Diceros bicornis minor: one gene and its partner. Each later gene encodes a partner of the first gene's protein in a complex. Links are inferred from orthologs where the notes say so. Each region holds a gene or a part of one and is shown in the gene's direction. Other genes may lie near its edges.

Region 1 (11,553 bases):
CATTTTCAAGCACTTATTTCATTTACACAATTCCAAGGCGAATAAATCTTGGCATTAAGGCTGATTTGATGTGTGATGCAGACAGTCCAATTAAGGATAGGGTATTTTATCAGCTCCTCTAAATTTTCTTTTCCCTAGACTATGATCTTTTATACTGGGTTGATCTCTTTTTTATTCATAAAGGCTTCATTCCCATTTATCATGGCTGCATTAACAGGACATCTAATGAAGACTTGGATATGGAAGTCTGCACCTCATTTATCCTCAACAGCAAAATTAATAAGGCAGCAGGAAAATAGCTTCCCGAACTGGAACTTCTTTAGCCCACCCTGAGTGATCTAAAATATATTTTGCATATGTATTCCAGAATTAGGGCTCAGCTATAAACCTTAGGAGGCAGGGCCTAATGTCAACTTCTATCCTCTGACAGCCTGTATGCTATTCCCCTGTTCAACTCATGCTTGGAGAGGCTTGGATTCAAGTGGCCAGGAGCCCATTTGCCCACTCATTCCCTCTACACACAGTTTCTGAGCACCTTCTGTAGACCAGGCTCAGGGATACAAAACAGACTCAAGAAAGTCACAGTTAACTGGGTCATGGGACGACTGTTAGCCAATGGAAAAAAAATACCTTAGCCAAGTATTAAGGTTAGGAGCAAGCTGGAAAGATTATCTGCTCTATCCTGCTTCTGGGAAGATAACTCTCTCAACCAGTTTTCCTGTTAATTAAGGCCAAATCACAGACATTGACTTTGACTTGTAAACTTTATAGATATATGAATACATTGGTTTCCCAGAGCTGTCATAACAAAGTACCATAAACTGAATGGCTTAAACAACAGAAATTTGCTGTTCTGGAGGCTAAATGTCCAAAATCAAGGTGTCAGCTAGGTTGGTTCCTTTTGAGGGCCGAGAGAGAGGGATCTGTTCCAGGTGCCTCTCTTTGGCTTGTACATGGCCATCTTCTCTCTCTCTCTTCACACTGTCTTCCTTCTATGCCTCTGTGTCCAAATTTCTCCTTTATATTGGGACACTTGTCATATTGGATTAGAGCCCACCCTAACGACCTCATTTAACTTCATTATCTCTATAAAGACCCTATTTCCAAATAAGGTCACATTCTGAAGTATTGGGGGCTAGGACTTCAACATATGAATTTTGGGGAGACACAATTGAACCCATAACAAAGAGTTTCTGAAAGTCTCTGAAACTGGTTTAACTAAAGCTCTAAGACAGCCTCTAGCAGCACAACATTGTTAGAACACTGGATAGGAAGCTAAGAATCTGAAGGTCAAGTTCCAAATTAGCCACTTCCTCTCTCTGAGCCTCAGATTTTTTCTCTAGAGATAAGAGATCTGGACTGGGCCTCCAAAACCCTCTCACATTTCTAGGATTGTGTTACTGATAAAGTGAGAGTTGAGGCAGCATAGGAGTTGGGTAAATGGTGAGGCTTCACCACTTACAGGGTGGAGGGTAATCTTGAGCAAGTATTGATCTTCCGAGCCCCAGGTGTGTTTTTAACTGTAAAATGGGAATAGTGATAGTAGTTACTTTATAATTTTATTTATTTATTTATTTTTCCCCCAAAGCCCCAGTAGATAGTTGTATGTCATAGCTGCACGTGCTTCTAGTTGTTGTATGTGGGACGCGGCCTCAGCACGGCCGGAGAAGCAGTGAGTCGGTGCGCGCCGGGATCCGAACCCGGGCCACCAGCAGCAGAGCACGCACACTTAACCGCTAAGCCATGGGGCCGGCCCAGTAGTTACTTCAAAAAGGTTGTGAGGACTAACAAGACCCATGAGTTACCTGGCACACAGTTGTCACTCCGTGTAAGTGAACTGCTAATGGTATTACTGCTATTACGACCATTAGGCGTCAGGCTTTGGATGGAGGACTCAGCTCTCACGTGGTATCCACTATCAGAAGGCAGGGGTATGCCCCCATCCACCGGTGTCCTGTCCAGTAGCTCGCATGGAGTGAGAGCTTTAGCTGGCAAGACTCTTGTGAACCTTGAGACATGCCTTTCCCCACCTCTACCTTATCCAGATCCTATCCCATTCTATACAGATCATTCACATTCATGTCATCAGGCTTAGGGCTAGGATTTCAGGCGACTTTTTTTTCTCACTAAATTTCATAATTTTTATACCATAGAAAAGTGTAAGAAAACATATTTAATTATGTCATTTAAGACAGCTTTATAGAGCAGCTGTGTAACTCCAGCCCTGCGAGCTGACTCTTGCATGAACACTGGATGGCCTGAGGTCTGTAGTAATCATTTGGCTCTTACCTTCATTGAACTGTTAGTTATTTTCTCACGTGTGTCCTCCTCTAGACTGTAAGCAACCTGAGGAAAAAAACAAGTTTTCTTACTCAGATTTAGCAAAGCATAGTTATTGACTCCCACAATGTACCAGCCCCTCTTACATAAGATATCTCATACAAATAGGAATAATGCCTCCCCACAACCTGATGAGGCAGGTAATGGTACTTCCATATCACAGATGAACCCCTGAGGCTCAGAAGTCACAAGTGTAGGCAGTGGCCAAGCCAGGATTCAATTCTACCTCTGTCTGACTCCGCGGCCACCAACCTAGCATACTGCTATCCTCACCAAGTTATACCAGCTCAGTAGACTTGTGGGCCCTTTCCCTCACCTAGGATCCTGCAGTCTGAGTGGAGTTTTCCATGGCCTTGGTGCCCCCTAGTGGCATGTGAAGGCCCATTTCCCAGCCCAGCTTTAGGCTCATTTAACTGCAGGCCTGTGACCCTAAGCACTTGAAAGAGTGACCAGTGGGGTCCATCCTGGGGTAGCAGAGTCCTCTGCACCCAGAGGAGAGCTATGCCCTCTCCCAGAGTGGCACTTCTTAAATCGACCCCCCAGGAGGATTCAGCTCCTGACAGGTCAAGGAAGAGGGGTTAGGGTCTCAGGCCAACAGCAGTGAGATGACCTACAAGGCCTGGTTCCACCCACCTGGCCTCTCATCTCCCACTTCCCAGTCGGGACATGTGGGCATGGGCATTCTCTGCCAGACCTGCCTGGGCTTTTCATTTTCCAAAGAGCCTGTTTATGGAGGAGAGGAGAAAGAAGAGGATAAAGGTGGTTAAAGTTCAGGACTTAAAGGTTCTTTACATTACAGAGTCCTTTTCCCCAAGACCCATCGAGATTCTTCAATAAATATTAGTTGGATTCCTATAGTGCTCTGCAGCAGTCAGGATGCAGAAATGGAGACAATGCTCTTCCTGTCCTTGAAAAGTAAACATACAAAAAATTACAACACAATGACGCAAGTACTCTAATATGGGTGTCATTGGACTTTTCCCGTCACCCTAAAAGTTGTTACCAGTACACAAAACTGAGACCAAAGTACCATCAAATATCCTACAAGCTGAAGAAAGTAGAAAACAATTAGGGGTCAGACACCTCCTCCAACCATCACCCCGGCCCGTAGGACGTCCCCAGCTCACATAAGCTGCCTCACTCCCTCTACCTATCTGGGCAGGGGCAAAACAGCAACAGGGCAGAGAAACAGGGGTAGTGTGATGTAGCCTGCCCTCCCACCTCCGGTGCAGCAAGGACATGTGGGCCAGCGGTCATCCTCTTCCAGCTTGCACATTTTCCCTTCAGAGGTCTTCCCTACAGTTTAAAAAGATATCACCGGCTTCTCTGAGAATCCTTTAATCATTGATCTGGGTTTGAGAGAATCAGAGGTATCCTGGAGCTGCAGTAGCCAATACGGCAGCCGCCACCCACACGTGGCTATTGAGCCCTTGAAATATGGTCAGTCTGAATTGAAATGTGCTGTCAGTGTAAAATATACAACGGATTTTGAAGACTTAGTACAGAGGAAAAAATGTAAAATATCTCAGTATTGTTTTTAATCGATCACATGTTGATAATATTCTGGTCATATTATTTGGATAAATAAAATATATTATTAAATTAATTTCACCTGTTTTACTTTTTCAGTGTGGCTACTAGACCATTTAAAATTACAGATGTGGCTCACATTACACATCTTTCGACTGGACGTCACTGCCCTGGAGGTTAAAAAGCCAGAGCAGAGAAGCCCTAACCCTGCAAAACTTTACACCGCATGGGACCACAAGGGGGCGGTACTGCAGCGTCGAGCTTCCTCGGGCAGGACCGGCGGAAAGGAGGCTGGCTCTTCACGTTTTCTAAAGCTGTCTTTTAAGGGTAGTTTTAAACTGCTTTTCCTAAAATTTAAATGGCCCATCATGTTATCCCTAAGTTAACATAAACAATTTTTCTAGGGCAGGAGTCCAAAACTCCTGAATTACAACATTCAAGCCTGGAATTTTAAGGAAGCTGCAAGTTTCACCATTAGAGCTAGGGAATGGAGAGAGACTGAATTCAAGTCCAGAGTAGCCTTAAAGCTGGGCCCCAGACCAGAAGGTAGACTGTGAGTAAAAGCTGGAGGTGAGAGGGTTGGAGAAATCGTACATCTAAGAGTGATGTTAGGAGGACTTAAGGGCAGGGAGTGGGTAGAGGCTTATGGGGGATGGGAGAACCTATGGACATACTCCCATTTTTGTCAAAATGCTACGAATCTGAGTGTAAATTCGTACCACCTTTCTGGGGGGCAGTTTGTAAGTGTACATATCAAAGGTCTTGAAAATGTCCACATCCTTTGACCCAGTGATTCCATTCTAGTAACTTATCATAACGAAAATCTTAAACTGCACAGATATTTAGCTACAAGGATATTCACCCAGCGTTTGTAATAGCCTCCCTCTCAAAAAAATCATCAACCCAACTGCACATTAATAAGGGGTTGGTTAAATCAATTAAGGTACAGCTATAATAAGGAATATTTTGTAACTATTACAAAGGATGTAAATGAATACTTATTGACATGGAAAGACATTTATGCTAAATTCTGTGAAAAAGGACAGCTACAGGAATTGTATGGCCAGTATGTGTCCATTTTGCTTAAAAAAGAAAAAACATTAAAATTATCCATTTGCAAAAACAATGGGCTGGAAGGATACTCTTCAAGGGATTAATAGTAATCTCTGGACAGAGACGATGGGTGGCTTTCTTTCCTTACTTTTACAACTGCGTTTATAATTAACTTTTTTAAATTATTTTTAAGTAGTCCTACTCAGTCGTCTTTACAAGTGCCACCTTCTTTCTCAAAATTTCCTGAGCCCTCACCAAACTAAGAAGCAATGTCTTCGTTAAAATTCCGACACTTTCCCGATCCCCAGCTTGGGTTTTAACCTTGTTCCATCCCGTCCTCTAGTCCCTGTGTGCATGTCTTTTGCCCTACAAGCCTGTGGACCCCTTCCCCGGGGTTCTGTGTCTCTCTTCTCTGTCCCTGCCCCACCGCCTGGATCAGACCCTGCCTGACCGGCCGGACTACTCTAAAACCTGAACAAGATCTGGCCCGACGTTTCGGAGTCGGTTGAATCGGAATCCAAAGGTTTACGTCACTGAGACAAAGTGACAGGCCGGGAACCGAGGCACCGAGGCTTGGCTGCAGACCCCTCTCCTGAGGGGCATAACCCGCGCCGCCTGGTTCCGCAGGGGATCCCGGCGCGGGTCACCTGTCTGTCACAGCGCGGGCAGCACACCTCTCGGCCCGGCTCGGGCGGCGGAAGCGGAACGACGTCTTCCTGTATTCAAAGCGGCGGGCGCGCAGCGAAGTTTGTCCCTCTGGAGGCGCCGTCCCAATGTGCGCCCCGCTCGTGTCACGTGATCGAGGAGCGCTCGGGACCTGAGGCGGAGGGGGACGCGACGGGTTGCGGCTCCCGGGCGAGGGTGGACGGTGGGCGGTATGGAGGCGACTTTGGAGCAGCACTTGGAGGACACGTGAGTAAGACGGCCTCCTCGGCCTGTCCTGAGGTCGCGGCGAGAGGACCTGAGCGAGGCAAAGGGTGACTCGGGGACACCGTGCGGCGCCCAGAACGGGGGGTGAGGCGGTGATCCCTGCCCCGGGCCTCGGGGAGGCTGCTGACCCGGAATTAGAATCCCGTTGGGGCTCCGCACCCTCCCGAGGGAGCGAGCCTCCGCGGCCAAGCCCAAGGCCCAAACCGCCTGTCCTGTTACTGAGATTATATGGACAGAGTTGTTCTTCAGGAGTGTTAGGAAATGGGTTAATTTAGGGGAAACCACTTGTGCAAAGTCGAGCCCTGCAATGTAAACAAACACACGCACGTATCCCCTTCCTGTGTAACCAATTACTTGGTGCTTAAGAAGATGAAAGACATGCCTTAAATTTTTCAAACGAGTCATAGCTACGTAAAATCCAAAATTGGGAAAGTGTAAGAAGGCGTACAGGGAAACACCTCCCTCGCACCAGTGCCGCTCAGCTTCCCACTTCCCCTCCAAGACGCAACCCGTGTTACTTAAGTCTTTCAACAGTTTTAAATGAGTTTGTATGCTAAAGCGTGCATTTTTAACGAGGGCAACAAACTCCTAGAAATTGCAATGTCTGTGTCTCTCCAAAGCTCAACAGTACCTGACACAGTCTTTTCTCTCATCATAGAGAAATTGGTTTAACTATTTAACTTATATTAGCTAATATAAGTTAAATATATAAATTATAATAAATATAATTTATAAATTATAAATTATAAAATTATAAGAAATTATAAATTATAAGAAAAATATAATTTTTCTCGGCTGGGGGTGATAATGAAAAAAGATCGACAAACACTGACTTAAAGCACTTATAACATTGCCTGGTCCATAGAAACCCTGTATGTATTGTTATAATTATTTAAATTCATTTTCTCACATCATCTGCTTCATTCCTCCTGTGTTCCTGGAATTAGAATGAAGAATCCATCCGTCGTTGGAGTCCTTTGCACAGATTCACAAGGACTGAATCTGGGCTGTGAGTATCTCACGCCAGCCCTGTGGTGGATTGCACAGCATTTGATGTTGACTGGGAGCCTAGCGTGCTGTTATTCTCTCTTTTTTATTTCTTGTTACCCTGCCACTTTCCGGGTACTTTTGTGAGTATAGAGATTATCTCCAAATGACAAGATTAGATTAAAACTTTTCAGTTGGTGTGTATGAAGGTGGAAGTGTTCTGTGCAGTTCTAGCGCCACACAGTTGTTGCTACTAAAATTGTGTTGGAATCATTTTAAATGGGCTCTAGAAAGGACTTCAGATAATGACAGCAGTTACATTTACTGAATGTATGCTGGGACTGCTAGGCTTTATATACATTATCTCTGATTTTCACAGTCACCCTGCAAGATGCATGGTGCTATTTTTTAGTCTAGCTGCATTTAACCCTAAGTGAGTAGGCAGTAAAAACAGGGGCTTCCGAGTTGGACACACCTGGGTTCAACCCTCTGCTCTTGCATTTGCCAATACTGTGAACTTGGACCAAAAAGAACCTTTCTGAGCCTCAGTTTCTTATTGGGTTGTTGTTTAATAATGATAATAATTATAGAATTATATTTATTGAGCTCTTACTATGTGCCAGGCGCCATACTAAGTGCTTTACATATACTAAGTAGTCTAATCCTCATAACAACCCTGTGAGGTGGATAAAGAAATTGAAGCACAGAGGTTGAGTAACTTGCTTCAGGTCAAACAGCTAGTAAGTGGTTGAGCTAGGATTTGAGTCTGGCTCCAAAGCCTCTTAATCACAATACTATAAGATTATATAATATGTGTAAAACACCCAGATATAATGCCCAATCAATGGTAACAATTACAAATGAGGAAATAAATCCAGAAAGGTAAATATCTAAAGCATTCAGCTAATTAATCTCAGAACTAGTAAAACCAGGACTCCTTGCTCCTGCTGCAGGAATTTTTAAAGCACTGAATTTTAGCTGGGAGGGTAACTGAAAGAGGTAATCTGTGTAACCAGTTACGTTTTACACACAAATCAGTCAGTTGAAAAAAAAAGGCAGATTTTTTTTGAGGCGCTTGCCAAGCTCACAACTGGGAAGCTGAAGTTCAAGTGTAGAAGTCTAAAACTAAATGAGTTCTTTCAAGAAACCTTCAAGGCCTGAAAGACTGCACTGGGTCTGGCTAGTTAATGTTTTCTGTAACAATAGTAATCTGTGACTCTGCCATAATGGTGTGGCTCTTACCTGCCTTAATGTCAGGCAGTTAGGCTTGGGTTGCCTTTATAGACAGAAATAATATTGTAAAGTAAACTTCATGATTACTTTTGTACCTGGGACCCAAGAGTTAGTTATTATCTACAGGCTAAAAGAAACATTAATAAAAAGCCACTTCTCTTGACATTTGAAAACACCCACCTTATTCGGGTGGAAATAACTGCTCACAGAATATTCCCATGTGCTGTCAAGGTGATCTTACAGCTGAACTCCTGAGTAAAGACTTTTATATCCTTTGAGGTTGAGCTCAATAAAAGGAAGTCAGATTTCCTATGAGGAATTAATTAGTTTCAACAAGCCTCTTGCCCTTATTGACTGCTGTTTGTCAGTGTTGCCTCTGAATTTCTTGTTGGTTTCAGTAAGGTTCCTGTAAAATGAATTTATGACTTTCAGATTGACTTGAATTACAGCTTCCTTATATGCTTGAGAAGGTGTTTAGAGATGGTGATGGGAATGACTTTGAAAATTGAGTGTCTGTTATGAATTTAGTGATTTAAGAACTGTTGTCTGGCTTTCTCAATGATGTAACCAGCTGAGTATCAGGGCAAAATCATTTCATGTCAGTACCTAACTTAAGAGACCATGAACTGAGCCGCCTTTTGTGAATAATCAATGAGAGATACTACTATAGCTCTATACTCATTTTTGGACAATCAGGCGACATGATCTCATCTCTGTCTTCCAGGTCGTGGGACCCTGTCAGATGAGCATGCTGGGGTGATATCTGTTCTAGCCCAGCAAGCAGCTAAGCTAACCTCGGACCCCACTGATATTCCTGTGGTGTGTCTAGAATCAGATAACGGGTAAGTAGATGTCAGCAGATCCCTTCCCTTCCTTTTTATATAGAAAATCCCTGGGAAATTTGACAGGGGCCTGCCCTGTGTTCATCAGTGATTCCTCATTCAAAGTACTTTGAGGGAGGATCTTCACTCTTTGGAGCACAGGAGCAGATAAATTTGATCTGTGAAGCTAATGTGCTTTCAGACCACAATGACATTTAAATGAAGAGTCAGAATTGTCATGAACTATCAGTCTGTCAAGAAAAAGAAAGTAATAAATAGCACAGAGGAAGACTAAACAAAGAACAGAAACTACTTCTGTAGTAATAGAAATACCAAAGATATTCCAAGTGAGGGTCCTCAGAATAATAGTAAATGTAAAAAAGCAGAATACAAAACTAGGCACAGTATGATCACAGTTTTGTAAAAAGAGAAAAAAACGTATAGATAGTATACACACAGATAAAAAAACAGGAAAATATTGGGGCTGGTGCGTGGCATAGTGGTTAAGTTCAGCACGCTCTGCTTTGGCAGCCCAGGTTCATGGGTTTGGATCTTGGGCGCGGACCTACACCACTCGTCAGCTATGCTGTGGCAGTGACCCAAATACCAAATAGAAGAAGATTAGCACCGATGTTAGCTCAGGGCTAATCTTCCTCAAGCAAAAAAAAAAAAATAGGAGGAAGATTGGTAACAGATATTAGCTCAGGGCAACTCTTCCTCAGCAAAAAGAAAAATGAAAATAGTAGTAGTGGTTGTCTCTGGGTGATAGGAGTATAGGATTCATTTCATTTCTTTATTTTATACTTTTCTGTATTTCCCAAGTGTTTTGTTGTGTTCATATATTGCTTTTATACATAGAAAAATAAGTATTATTTTTTTTAGTTGTGTCCTAAACCAAACAGCATCTTTAATCTTAACACTGATTCTCACGTGTAACGTTTTACTGAATATCTTCCGCTTTGCCTTTCAGGAACATTATGATCCAGAAACATGACGGCATCACAGTGGCAGTGCACAAAATGGCCTCTTGACGTCTCCTGTCAGTTCTCCAGCAGCCTGTCATAGGGACTTGATCCTACCTGTGTTAATTATCTTGTAGAACTATTGAAGTTTCAGTAGTTAGGCCATTCATTTAATGTGCATTGAGCACTTCTCTACTAATTTTAGATTAAGCTGCGTTATGACACTCTATGACACTGTGGACTAGTAGTTAAGAAAGGATCATGTTTTGAAGCAGCAGGTCCAGGTCACTTTGTATATAGAATTTTGTTATGTTCAATAAATCTGGTTGGAGGAAAGCTTGTTAAACTCTTATCAAATGTTCCTTTTTTCAGTTATCAAATTGTAATTTTTTTAAAACAGGTCCTTGCTCCAAACTACTCTCTACTCTTTCAGAAGCTTCCTGAAGTACATATATTCTCACAGAAGTGTCCATGGATATTTAAAAAAATCAAGTATACTTGTACCCCATAATAATAACATAATACCTTTTATATCATTAAATACTTACTGTATGCCAGGAACTCATTTAATTCTCATTAGCAACCCTATGTTGTAGGTACTCTTATTTGCCCCATTTTGCATTTGTATACAGGCTAAGGGATTAGCAGAGTCACAGTTTGGACTTTAGATTCCAGTTCAGAGCATGGATAGTCATGCAGCGCATAATGATGTTTAAATCAATGATTGACCACATATACGACAGTGGTCCCATAAGATTAGTTCCATATGGCCTAGGTGTGTAGTAGGCTATACCACCTAGGTTTGTGTAAGTACAATCTGTGATGTTCCCACAATGACGAAATTGCCTAATGACCCCTTTCTCTGAACGTATCCCCATCATTAAACAACGCATGACTGTACTCCTAACACCCAGACCACTACAGAAGTAGGTATGTTTAAGCCAGAAAAATATCTACTATTTGCAAGTGTAGGACATTATCTTCTCTTCGATCCTTGTAGTTTTCAACAACAGAATGGTGCAAAAGCAGGCACAAAAGACCTCATTTTGTTGATTTTGAATGCAGCTCCTGTTGCTCTTTAGCAATTTAATATTCAACAGTATTAAGAAATCTCCAGAATATTATTATTTATTCAAAAATGTCAAGCATCTGCAAATATAAGGTGCTATGTGAGGAAACATGAATAAGACATGGCTCCAGCCTTTGAGCTTGTACTGTGATAGAAGGGATATGCATGTATGTTGTCTTCACCATACTTAGCAGTACTCAACATGTAGTGTATATGTTTATCGTCTGTCTTTCCCACTAGCATAGATGCTTTGAGGGCAGAAGCTTTGTCTTATTCACAGATGTATCCCAAGCGCCTAGAGCAGTCCCAGCATATAATAGACACTGCATAAGTACTTACCAAATAAGTGAATACATAACTAATGCAAAGGCGTTTTGTGGTGTGAACTGGGCCTTTCCAGGCAGAGGGAGTAGCAGTGGCAAAGACAGGTGATAAACCAAACAGAATATTTATGTAATAAATGCTTTGGTTTGGTCTGGGAGGTAGGAGGTGAAAAAGCTGGAAGGTAGGGCAACTACCTCAAGGAACTTGAATAGGAACCTCAAGCCCGGTTTTTAAGAATCCTAGGCCTTACCCTGTTAAAAGGATGGAATTTGGAACAAGGGAGGGTCAAGGTTGAGCTTTAAGA
Region 2 (12,496 bases), on another chromosome or scaffold:
TTGTACTGTTCATTTAGTCATTGCCTAAAAGCCCTCAATTTTTGAGTACTGCTTTATTAGCTTCTCTAACTGGTATTTTAGAAGTTTGGCAACAATTATATTTATTAATGCTTTAACATACACAAATGTCATTGTCCTTGTGAGGATTTGGGGGAAGTAAATAGTACCTTTTCTCCTTGTCTTTTGTTTCCTTAGTTCCCAAATAGACTGGTGCTAATCATTTGTAAGTTTCAGAATTTATTTTGATCAAATGTGAGAATTTAATTCTCAACAGTGAGAAATTTCAAGTTATAATCCATTTAATAAGTGAAAACAATATATTTTGAGAACAGATTGCATTTGAGTCTTAAATAGTTATTTGTTTCATAATCATTACATTCTTATTTATGACTTAGAAAGATTTGGTAGAGAAAAGTAAGTCCTTAAGGCATATATATGCCAGTGCATTAAGCCAGTCTGCTTTTGTGTCAGTTCAGGTGTTCACAGGAACAGGAATGTGGAATTCTAGCCCTTTATTTAATTGCACTTTTATGCTTAAGTTTTCTTCTTGTTAAATCTTCAGTTACACTAGTATGTAAAATAGTTACTGAGAGACATGATTAACCTCTTGATTTCCCTTTGTTGATCAGTAATATTTTTAAATGCAGCTGTTATTTAACAAATGTGACATGTTAATATTACTTAATAGTGTATTCCTACATATTTCATTAAAAAAATAAATCTCCCACCTGTGTTAAGGCAGTGAATATTTCTTGACATTGGCCTGAGGACCAAATGAGCCATCTTTCCAGTTAAGTGTTATGTCAAGAGACCAGATGGTTCAGAAGGAGGATTTGTGCATTCCTTTAGCTTCCCCATATGAAGCTCAGGTGTAATACTACTCATATTACTCTCTGTCTTCGTATGGAGTGAGGCAAACTGAAAAGGCAGTCATAATCCTTTTTCTTATCTGAACAGAAAAACTTCTGAACAATAAATCTAAATTTTAATCTTTACCAAATAGCTGAAAATCCTTATCTATTGGCCACATTGGACTACTGCCTAGTTAAAATCTAAAATTTTCTATAAACCAATGAAAAAGAAGAGTATTCCAACAATAACTTCCAAAATTTAAAATTATTTTTTTTTAATTACAAAGAAAAAGTGAGTAGAATGAGGATCTTCAAGGAATTCTTGCATATCCCTTTAATAATCTGGCGGGCAACACAGTCCTAGAATTCAGGCTTCCTTTTTGGTTTTACTACTATTAAACAGACACTTTCATATAAATGGAAACATTCTCCCTCAAAACGTTAATTCAAAACATACTCCTTAAATTAAGGATTACATGCAACCACATTTTTTTATAAATTCCCTGTGTGTAACTTTTTCCTGTTGGTACGTGATTCTTTTTCATTTAATTTTATTATCTGCTGGTTTTGGGGCCAATAGATTTGTGAATATTCTGTGGATGTGTCCGTGTATAGGTGTATATATATCTATATTTTTTTTCCAGCTAATACCTCAAATGCGTGATTGTTTAATATATACCACACTATGTTTGCACAGAGCAGGGCTTCCATTAGTGGTGGATATTCTGATTTCTGACTTTAAAAATCAGTCCACAGAATTTCATTGATGTGAATTCTTTCTGTTAATCTTTTTCATATTTTAAAACAGATTCCTATTATAGAGCCTATACTTCAACTATAAGTGTATCTTTCTATAGCAATCTGGAAATGTGTAGGGGTAAGAACTGTTTCTTGAAATGTCTTAGTTTAGTAAGTTATTATTAAAAATTGGGATTACTGGTTGCTGAGCTGTCTAATAACTGCATAGTAGATGACACTTGGCATGAATGTGAATAAGTCTCATTCACTTCAGCACAGGAGTTGGTACATTCCAATCTGACATTCTACTTTGCCATTTAATAGCACCACTTAAGTAATAGAGATTTTTCAGTGACATTGGAATATTTTAAGCATCAGTTTCAAAATGAATTGTTTTTGAGTTGGATGGTGGTACCAATGAGAAGAAGGAAAATCACACGTAAATGATATTTTGTGATTTATTTGTATTAAGAAATGCTTCTTACCTATTTTTGTTTTGTCTTTGTTTTTCTGGATTGCTACATAAATTTTTTTTCCATTTAAAGTTTAAATCGTGTTTTTTTTTTTTAATAATTTTATTTATTTATTTATTTTTCCCCCAAAGCCCCAGTAGATAGTTGTATGTCATAGTTGCACATCCTTCTAGTTGCTGTATGTGGGACGCGGCCTCAGCATGGCTGGAGAAGCGGTACGTCGGTGTGCGCCCGGGATCCGAACCCGGGCCGCCAGCAGCGGAGCGCGCGCACTTAACCGCTAAGCCACGGGGCCGGCCCTAAATCATGTGTTTTTAAAAGCTGCAGGTAATTTTCAAGGTGTGATAGAATTTTAATGGAAGCCTTGTATAAGTCAAATGAGTGAAACTGGTAAAGGAGCTCTTTACTTTATTTGTCTATAGTGCATTTAAGATTATACAATTAGATTTAAAAATGAAATGTCTGATTTGTAAAATATTTAGTGTTATATCAGACTTATATAAAATAAAAGTTTCTGTGTGAGAACTCTGTTAAAAAATGCATTTGATTTTTCATGAATGTTCTTCTGAATGATTTATGATGAATTTGTGTCTTTCAGTCTCTGCAGTTTATCTCAATATATGAATAAAAAGAAGGTGTGTTCTCACTGTAAAGGATTTGTTTTTGTCATGTTTTATATTCTTAATATGCCCTTTTTTTTTCATTCATTCAACCATTCAACCAATGTATGAATGCCTGCTCTATCCCAGGTGGTGAGCAGAGTGCTGGGAATTCACCACCGAACAAGACAGAAATCCTCATGAGGTTCACATGTAGCGAGGAAAATAAATGTCAAGTAAATAACTAACTATGATTATGATGGATGCTACAAAGAATATTACAAGGTGCAATGAAAGGATGTATTTAGAAGACTTAACCTACTCTGGGGGCATCAGGGAAGGTTTCTCTGAAAAAGTGAGCTAAAGCTGAAACCCAAAAGATGAGGTAAGTAGGAGTGAGGTGAATGCTAGAGAAATATTTCAGGCAATGTGCGAAGTTCACAAAGTCATTGAAACTTTATGAAAGTGAAAACAAACTTGTTTGATTATGGCATAAGGAAGCCAAGGTAAGTTAGAGAATTAAAATAAGATAGGGGCCAGATCCCATAGACCATATATAAACCATTATGACGATAATTGGACTTTATCCTAAGTCAATAGAAAACCTTTGAGATTTTTGAGGAGGAGTTACATGATGAGATTTGAGTTTTTAAAATATCGTTTTAGTTGCTGTGTGGAGAAGACTGAAGGGCAAAAGTAAATGTAGGAAGGATAGGAAGTTATTGTCAAAGGATAGGTGATCATGGCTTGGACCAGAGCAGGAATATTAAAAACTTTCCAAAAATTTGGCTGTGAAACGGAGTAGAGAAAAAGGATGGGGGCTAGAAGAGTATGGTGGTTGCTAAAGAAAGCTTTTATTTTTTCAGTTGTTATTTATTACATGAGACTTTACTATCTATTATATGAGAGATCTTACTAATTTTTTTGTTCTGATGGAAAGGGGTAAGTAGAAAGTGAAAGAGTAAAGATAGAGAAAAGAGGAATAGCGGTAAGTACCTGATGTGTCCCAAGGATATAGGAGCCGTTGCAAAGATAGAAGAATTCCTTTAGCTAAGAGACGCCACCAGCATTCTTTCAGAAAGGAATGCACAGAGGATGGGTGCAGATGCAGGTAGATTTGTAGTGTTGGTGGCAAGATGTTATATGGCTTGCATTTTCCTGATGGAAATAGGCAGTTTATGTAAAGTGGGGGAGGGGAAAGAATGATAAGCAGATGCTTAGAAAGAAGACAATTTGAAGGAATTATTTTCACTGAGTCAGCTAACTAGTGAAAAAGCAGGATTTCTATGGGTCCCCGGTTGGTGACAGAATTTACAGTCTGTTTAGTTGTATTTTCTCCAGCCTAATCCAGCAGCTTAGGCATAGGCATGGAGATACAACTCAATTAACTCATCCAAATTTGGAGTTCTGTCAGGTAGGAAAGACGGTAGGGGAGGCTAAGATGTTGACGAGTGATTCCAATGCTTGACTATTGGATGTAAGCCAGAGATCAGAATTAGTGATTTCTGAGGTGACTGCCTGAGTCCAGGGTGTGCTTAGAAGTAGTATAGAAGAGAAGGTTACTGCATATGACCTTACAATTGTATTCCCAATGGGCCAAATCCCAAACCACAGCCAGAATCAAAATTAGCAAAACATTTTCTAGCTTGGCCAGTCTAAGTGATAAAATTTTTGTTTTTGTATGTTGGAGAATCAGTAAGACTCTCCTCTCCATATGAATTTGATTACCAACTAGAATTTTCACAGAGACAATGGAGCCAGCCTAAACCCAGATGATTGTAGATTTTTTTTATAGGAAAGCAGAATCAAAGAAAAATTGAGAAATCTCTGCTGTATACAACAGCTAAGAGAAATTTAAGCTAAAGAGATGCAGAAACAAAGGCTCTGATATAACCAATAAAAGAACTTTAACATGTACATGTTTATATAATGTACTAGTATGCTGTGTACTAGAAATTTGAATGATGAGATAAACATTTTGTGTGCATGTGTGTGTGTGTGTACAGTTTCTACTAGTTTCTTCCTGAACCTCTGGGATCATCTGGTGCTCCGTACTTTGGAGAACTGGTACATAGTGCTGATAATCTTTTAGGTCAGTCGGTATTTCCCCTAGTCCTGTACCAAAAGCAGTGAACGGATCAATCTGAGTACCTAAGGAACTCTCCCACTGACATGCCATAATTTGGAAACCACCACACTCGGAAATTAGAAATCTTATTAGTTCTTTCAATTTCAGGACATGATGTTTGGAGAGCTTGGCAAGCAATGCTCTCCCTTTTTGCCGCTCAAAAGGAAGAAAAAAAATATTTTCCAGGTCAACTACTTAGGTCATTAAGATTGAGAATTTTGTTAAAATGAAAAGTAGCACTTCCAGAAATTAAAAGTTCTTACTAGAGTTCATAGTTTTATTTGCCTCTAACCTTGGGGGCAAATGGTAGAGGGGTGGGGCGCATAAGAAGTTGTAGTTAGGGCCTGAATTAATGGTTTATTTTAATCACTTTTATTCCACAAATGTTGAATGAGTGCCTACTGAGTGCAAGAAACCTAGGCATTGTAAGAAACTGGAAAAAATCTCCAACATGACCCAGCCTTCTAGACCTTATGGTCTCATTGGGAAAACAAACCAAAACTGTGACACATATTTATGCACAACTATCAGTCATTCTTGGTAGTAGATAGTAGCATTCAAGAGAATGTGACGGGTGAGGAGATGTTATAGGGAAACAAGATTTACATAGCTAAGGTGGAGAGTGAAGGGGTTCAGAATACGCCACCCCAATATATGCCACTTGGGCATATTGATTATTTTGAGCTGAAGGCTCTAAGAAACAGCAGATACAAGAAGGGCTCTCTGACCTCCCTTTTTTTTTTTTTTTTACCTAAAAGCAGGTCATAAAATTTCCTGTGAGAAAGGTGTCCTCCCTCCATCGGGCAGAGAACATTCTTATCACAGAGACAGGACTGATGCCAAAATGGACCTGTACAAACAAACCTACTAAAATAGCCCTTCCATTAGTTTCCCCCATATATTTCAAAGTCACTGTCCCACAATTTACTGCCCCTAGCCCAAGCCTCTTTGTCTTGTGACATCCCCATAGTCTGTTGTTGTTTGCGTAGAAAGGTACATAAGCTTTTGGGCCTAACGGCTTCTTTGGATCTTCATTTTCTTTCTGAAGGCTCCTGTGTACACGTAAAAATATTAAATAAATTTGCATGTTTTTCTGTTAATCTCTCTGTGTCAGTTTACTTCTTAGGCCCAGCCACAGAACCTAAGAGTAGAAAGAAGTTTTTCCTCCCCTACAAGAGAAATAAACATTTCAGATTAAAGGAACCTCCAGAAGCAGTGTGAGAAAATAAAAGTCATGTTGATGGCAGGGTGAGGTAATCACTTTGGCTGCAGTATAGGATTCACATTAGAATGCATTCAGGGGGCCGGCCCAGTGGTGCAACCAGTTAAGTGCGCGCTCCGCTGCCACGGCCGGGGGGTTCACCAGCCCGGATCGCGGGCGCGCACCAACACACCATTTGTCAAGCCATGCTGTGGTGGCATCCCATATAAAGTGGAGGAAGATGGGCACGGATGTTAGCCCAGGGCCGGTCTTCCTCAGCAAAAAGAGAAGGATTGGCAGATGTTAGCTCAGGGCTGATCTTCCTCACCAAAAAAAAAAAATGCATTCAGAAGTAAAACAGAAGATGTTAGTTAGTGTCAGATCAAAGATTCAACCGTATCGTGGTCTGCAGTGGTACATCACTCAAGATTTTTTCAACAGCAGTAATGTGTGCTGTTTTAGGAAGGTTTATCTAGATGTTATTAAGTAGCTATTAATATAGTCTTGCTGAATAGAATAATGGTTTGAATGAAGAATTGAAAAAATATAGATGCAAAAATCGCCCTCAGGGAAGAACAGAGGACATGAAGAAGGAAAAAGCGAACGTGATACTTGCCTAGTCGAATCATGGAACCGCGCAGACACAGATAAGGAGAAATAGGTTTATCGGAGAAGTGTTTAGAGCATTTGAGTTAGAGCTGACAGTAAGACATGTTATGTGGAAATATCCAACATCCAACAAGCAGCTGAAAATGTGAGCCTAGAGCTCAGATGAAAGGTACAGATTTAAGACTCGCATTCTCAGTGGAAAGAGAAAAATAGCAGAGAAATCCAAGATGAGATTTAAATGCCATTATCTAAACAGTTAGGAGACTAGAATGGGTGAGGACCTAAAATAACTAGTGCAGTGTACCAGAAGCTAAGAAATGAAAAGGTTTAAATAAGAAAAAGGAAATTGATCTTCAATGATGTCAGTTGCCATGGAACTGCCAAGTTCACTTGTAACGATTAGGAGGTCATTTGTAACACTTGAAAGCTTTGTAGTTTACCATTTCATCCTCTTAAGGAACTAGGAATTAAGTATCCAACTCTTTCACCACGTCTGGGCTAGAGTTAATTCCTTTTGCACTCCTATTTTTAGGAATTGGAGCTGAAGATCAGTGTAAGCAAGTTCCCATAGACTTCATTTTCCTACCACCTACTGTAAGTTTGTGTTAAATGTGCAAACCAGCAAGGCACCAAACCAAAAATAATATGGGCAGTCCTTGGAAGGCACAACCTTCTAAGTCAAGAGCCAATGAAAGAAGGTTGTCCAGTATCTGCATGTGTTAAAAGTGGAGGCTGGAGGTGCACACACAACCGAGAGAACGCCACACAGCCCAGAGCTCCTCGATCCAGTCTTGACGAAGCCTTGAGTGAGAGCACATGGTGGCACCCAGGAGAAAACCAACAGAGACTAGGAAGTTGGGGTCAGAAACCGATTGACCTGGGCTTCTGATCACCGGCAATCTGCTGCTTGCTGTTCAGCTTGTAACACCATCCCTTCAAATTGTTTTACTTACAAGAAGTTTTCACATAACGCGCCCTGAAAAGCTAATGAAATTTATGCACCCTCTCCGCACAAAAAATGTCTTCTTGCAAGCATTATCCGGGGGGCTTTAGGGCCCGGCGGTCTCGTAAGAATCGTCTATGCAACGGCCGACGTCCCGACGTCTGCGCAGGCGCAGGCAGCAGCCCGCGGAGGGCGGGGCGCCAGTGCGGCCGCGCCCACCGGAAATCTCAGGTCCCCGGGGGTCGGAGGCGTAGGAACTGCTTCCTGGAGCACAGAGGCCGTCAGAAATCATGTGACGACGGCTCTCCGAGGAAGCTGTCTCTGAGGCTGTTCTTGAAGTGACAGCGGAGAGGACCGGGCAGCCTAGAAAGCCAGGTAACTGGAGCCCTTTGTCCTGTGTCCAGTGCCGGGCCCCTGGCCCTCTCCCTCGGGCCTGGGTCTCGGGGGAAGAGGGTGGAGTGGCTGAGAGGGGCGCCCGGCGTCCCGGCGGCTGTCTGGGAGCTCCGACTCCCGTCGGCCTTCCTGGTCCGGGCCGGAGCCGCGCCCTCCCGCCTGGGCTGCCGAGCGCCGGCCCCGCTCGTTAGGCCGGGGTGGGGAGGGCGAGGCTGCCGTGGGCAGAGAGTCACCAGGAGCTTCTCTTCCAGGCGTGGAGCTGGACCCTGCGGGAGGAAGGGGCTCGTCATGGCGGATGTGAGTTAACGCCCCGCCCGGGGCAGGAGAGGGTGGGCGTTCGGAGGAGGCTCCCGGGCGCGCAGAGGTAGCGCTTCCCAAGTAGCAGTTGCTGTCGTTTTAGCGCTCCCCTCGTTATTTCCTCCGGAATCTGGAGCGAGTGACTAATACGAATAGATTCGCGGGGTCCTGAGTGCCTGCTGGAGTCGAGGTGGAGGAACACTCAGGTGCCTGAGATCGGGAAAATTGTATTCTTCCCGCTCCCCTGTTCTGGGGCGGAAGAGGGGCTCTGAATGTTTACTATTTGAATTTCTAAACGATGGTTTGCTGCTCTGAATCTTCTTTTCCAGCAAGTGGTCATGATGTCTCTCTCGGTTCATTGTGGCAATTTGAGATGATTTCTAGTTGATGTCTCTTTAAAAGCACAGCGATAAAACCGAAATTCTAAGTTTAGGGAATTTAATTGTACTAGTTACTAGGAACAGCAGAGAATTAATACTCCTACTACTGTTTATGTTTATATTTTACATCCTGTTATTATTTTGCCTACATGCTGGGTATTCTAAACATTGAACATATACTCTTTAATTCTTACAACAACTTTTATGAGATAGCACTATTATTATTCTTGTGTTGCAGATGAAAATGCTAAGGCACAGAAGATTAAGTAACTTGCCTCAGGTTATACAGCTAGTAAGTTGTGGAGTCAAGATACCAACCCAGGCAGTCGGGCTCCAGAGTCCATGCTCTTGACTACACTAAAGAGTCATTCAACATTAATATGAAAGTGATTTTTCTTTTTAGGTTACAAGGTTGTGTTTCAACATTTAGCAACTTTTTATGCCCTTATCACTCCATTTTTGGGTGTCTTACATTATATATACATATATATATATATATATATTTTTTTTTTTTGTGAGGAAGATTGGCGCTGAGCTAACATCCATTGCCAGGCCTCCTCTTTTTGCTGAGGAAGATTAGCTCTGAGCTAACATCTGTGCCCATCTTCCTCTATTTTGTATATGGGTTGCTGCCACAGTATGGCTTGATGAGCAGTGCGTCGGTCCACACCCGGGATCTGGGCCACTGAAGCACAGTGCGGGAACTTAACCACTATGCTGGCCCCCCCCCCCCCCGTTATATTTTTGAGACCTTATTATTTTTTAGGCAGAATCAAATCACTAAATATCTATTGAGCATCTGCCTTGCAAAGGTTGCTGTAATAAGGGCTGTGGGTGGAATAAAGATGATTAAGGTATAATTCTTCTTAAGGGTTTTTAAAGTTTAAAAAAAAGTACTTAGATATGCATGCATTATAGTGTGAAAATACAAAGGAGAGAGGAATTATATCTGGTTTGTCTTTATCAGGAAAGCCTATTTGGAGTATTTGGTGGTTGAGGTTAGCTTTAAATAATGAGTAGCAATTTTGTTAAAAGTAAGATTGAGAGGGTGAGTGTCACTAGTAGAATGAATAGCATAAGCAAAGTTAGAGGGATAGGAAAGGGAAAGGTGTGTGTGGAGGAGCTGGGACCTGTGAGTAGTCCACTTTGGCTGGGGCTGGGCATATGTGTGAGGGAGTGGTAAGAAGCAGGACTGTAAAGTTAGTTGTAGACCTTATCGTAGAGAGCCTCAAATGTCTAAAGAATTTGTACATAGTTCAGTAAACAGTGGAGAGCCATTTAAACATTGCTTCTCAACCTTGGCTGCACAGGGAATCATCTGGGGAGCACCTCCCCAGGCATCAGTGTTTATTTTTATGCTCCCCAAGTGTTTTCCATAACCAGGGTTGAGAAGCACTGCAATTATGGCTTTAGAGAAAGAAAATAATGTGATTATTAGCATTGTGTAGAACTATGTGGGATAGAAACGGGAGACCAGCATACCGTTTGGGAGGCTAGTGCCAATCATAAATAATAAAATAAACCTAAATTATAATGTCAGTTGAAAAAAGGAAGAGATCAGTTTTAAAACATTTGACTTCACAAGTGTTTTAAAAGTAACACGTGAGGTTAGGATTAAATATTACTCTATGTTTTAAACCCAAATAACAGGATTAGTAGTGCCATTAGTGGAAACAAGAAGAGATTGAGGAAATCTGGATTTCTGATAAAACAAAATGAGTTTTTTGTGTGTGTTTAAGATGAGAGCAGAGATAAGCTGGTGGGGATAACATGAAATAAAATGAACATTCAGATTTGGAGAATAGTAGGGATTAGAGACAAATATCTGATTTACTTGTGTGGAGCTCATAATTGATACCTGGTTGTCAATGAAATTCCCCAGATGAGAGAGCGAGATGAGACATAAAATAGTCTTCTATTTCTTTAGTTCTAATTAGGTTCCATGCTAAACAGTTGACACACATTATCATTTATCTTTAGTCATGTGAGGAAACTGAGTTTCAGAGAAGTTGATTAACTTACCCAGGATCATTGAAGTGATGTTAGAAAGTCTGTCTATGGACATGGAAAGATGTTTACAATATATTCTCAAGTGAACACAACAATAGCAACAGGTTGTAAAATAGTGTGAAAATTATCATCTAATTTTACAGCTAATCTGTATTTGTCTTTCCCATTTCCAGATATGCAAGTCACTTTACATGCATCTTCTCAATAAACTTGAAAAACAATCGTGTGACATGTTCTATGATTATCCCTTCTCAACAAATAATCAAACTGAGGCTTAGAGAAAAAGGTTAGTTAACTTGTCCAAGTCACACAACTAGTAAGTGTCAAAATCAGAAACAGAAAGAACACAAGCAAGAAAGGTTGTGAGTGATGACTTAAGGTACCTGGAGTGTGGATAGGACAGTATCTAGAGAGCCAGTTCAAGGCGTATTGATTTTTTATATTCTCTTTCAGGATCTAAAGCGATTCCTGTATAAAAAATTACCAAGGTAAAAAATTACTAATTTGTTATTAAATAAATTCTGCATAACATATGTTGATTTTATGTAGTATTTTGTTTCTGTTTTAGACTAATATTATGTGTATATTATGCTATTATTTAGCACTTTCAAATACCTAACATAACCCTAGGTAGCACAAGAGATGTCCATTGAATTTGCAGGTAAGTAACATGAGGCCTAGAGAAGTTATGTGATTTGTCTAAGGTTAAACAGCTAGTGAATGCCAGAGGGGTAGAGCTCAGATTTCTTGCCGATTTTAGAGTTCTTTCAAATATACTATCATAGCAGTTTACTGGATTATACTTTGAAGTAGGGTAATTGTAAGGGAAAAACCTTAAGAACTTGCCTTTACTTTTAATATTGATTTTAAGACCTAATTGCCGAGTCTTTGTAACCCGAAAATCCTAGACTTAGACAGCAGTTCATACTTGGAAAAATCGCAAGGCTTTCTTTTGCCTGCATACAGTCCATTTGATGCACCATTTTATAAATTAGGCTCTTGTGTTGAGGACAGCACAGTTCCTTTTAGATATTTTACTGATTCAAAGGACTGTCACTTTAGTTGAATTAAAATTCATATTTAGTTTACTGTAAAAATGATACCTGCAAGTTAAGGGCATGAGAGAGAGGACTATAACTTGAGACATCCATTTTCACATTCCAGAATAATTCAATAACGTTTGAGGTAATATAGCAGAATATGTGATGTGAGATCCTTTTTTTATTTCTTATCCTCCAAATCTGTTTGAAGTTAAAAAGGTTTTAGATGTCACTTTATTTCTGTGGGTAGGAAAAAAACACTCTGGATTTTTGCCTGAATTGTTTGGTGGGGTTTGCCAGTTAGCTTGTGCCTTTACTCTGATTACAGACCACTAGAAATTAATGACATTATTTTCTGGTTTTATTATATCTATATTTTTCTTTTATATTCAGGAAGAAAACACTATTGAAGTGTTAAGTAATTGTTACCATTGATTTCTTGTTAATGCAATACTTAAATTCATTTTTATTCTCTTCCTAGTATTGGCAAACTACAAAGGCAAGCTGCTGATTCTGTTCTCAACCTAATGATTACCAATACAGGCAGTCCTACTTTGTGCAGTAGTGCAGGGGCATAGAAATGGCCATACAAGCTGAAAGTGTCCAAAGCAATTTTAGTAAGCAATGGGAAAAATGACAGTTGTTTTGTGACCTTTAAAAAATTTTGTCTAAACATTAAAACCTTGCAGGGGCCAGTGTGGTGGTATAGTGATTAGGTTTGCACACTCCGCTTCGGCTGCTTACAGATTCGGAGGTTCAAATCCTGGGTGCAGACCAATGCACCACTCATCAAGCCATGCTGTGGCGGCATCCCATATACAAAATAGAGGAAGA

What was found.
Region 2: LAMTOR5 (region 1) and LAMTOR3 share a complex: the UniProt entries of both Homo sapiens proteins name them as parts of the ragulator complex. The link is inferred for Diceros bicornis minor from reciprocal best matches to the Homo sapiens genes LAMTOR5 and LAMTOR3.

What each region holds. Positions count from the first base shown.
Region 1 is NC_080743.1:43,420,963-43,432,515, reverse strand, and holds LAMTOR5 (ragulator complex protein LAMTOR5), read left to right. Parts: upstream 1-5,727; 5' UTR 5,728-5,800; coding exon 5,801-5,835; intron 5,836-6,800; coding exon 6,801-6,862; intron 6,863-8,797; coding exon 8,798-8,915; intron 8,916-9,864; coding exon 9,865-9,925; 3' UTR 9,926-10,202; downstream 10,203-11,553. UniProt on the Homo sapiens protein: As part of the Ragulator complex it is involved in amino acid sensing and activation of mTORC1, a signaling complex promoting cell growth in response to growth factors, energy levels, and amino acids.
Region 2 is NC_080747.1:82,607,635-82,620,130, reverse strand, and holds the start of LAMTOR3 (ragulator complex protein LAMTOR3), read left to right. Parts: upstream 1-7,824; 5' UTR 7,825-7,917; intron 7,918-8,186; 5' UTR 8,187-8,223; coding exon 8,224-8,232; intron 8,233-11,075; coding exon 11,076-11,110; intron 11,111-12,496. UniProt on the Homo sapiens protein: As part of the Ragulator complex it is involved in amino acid sensing and activation of mTORC1, a signaling complex promoting cell growth in response to growth factors, energy levels, and amino acids.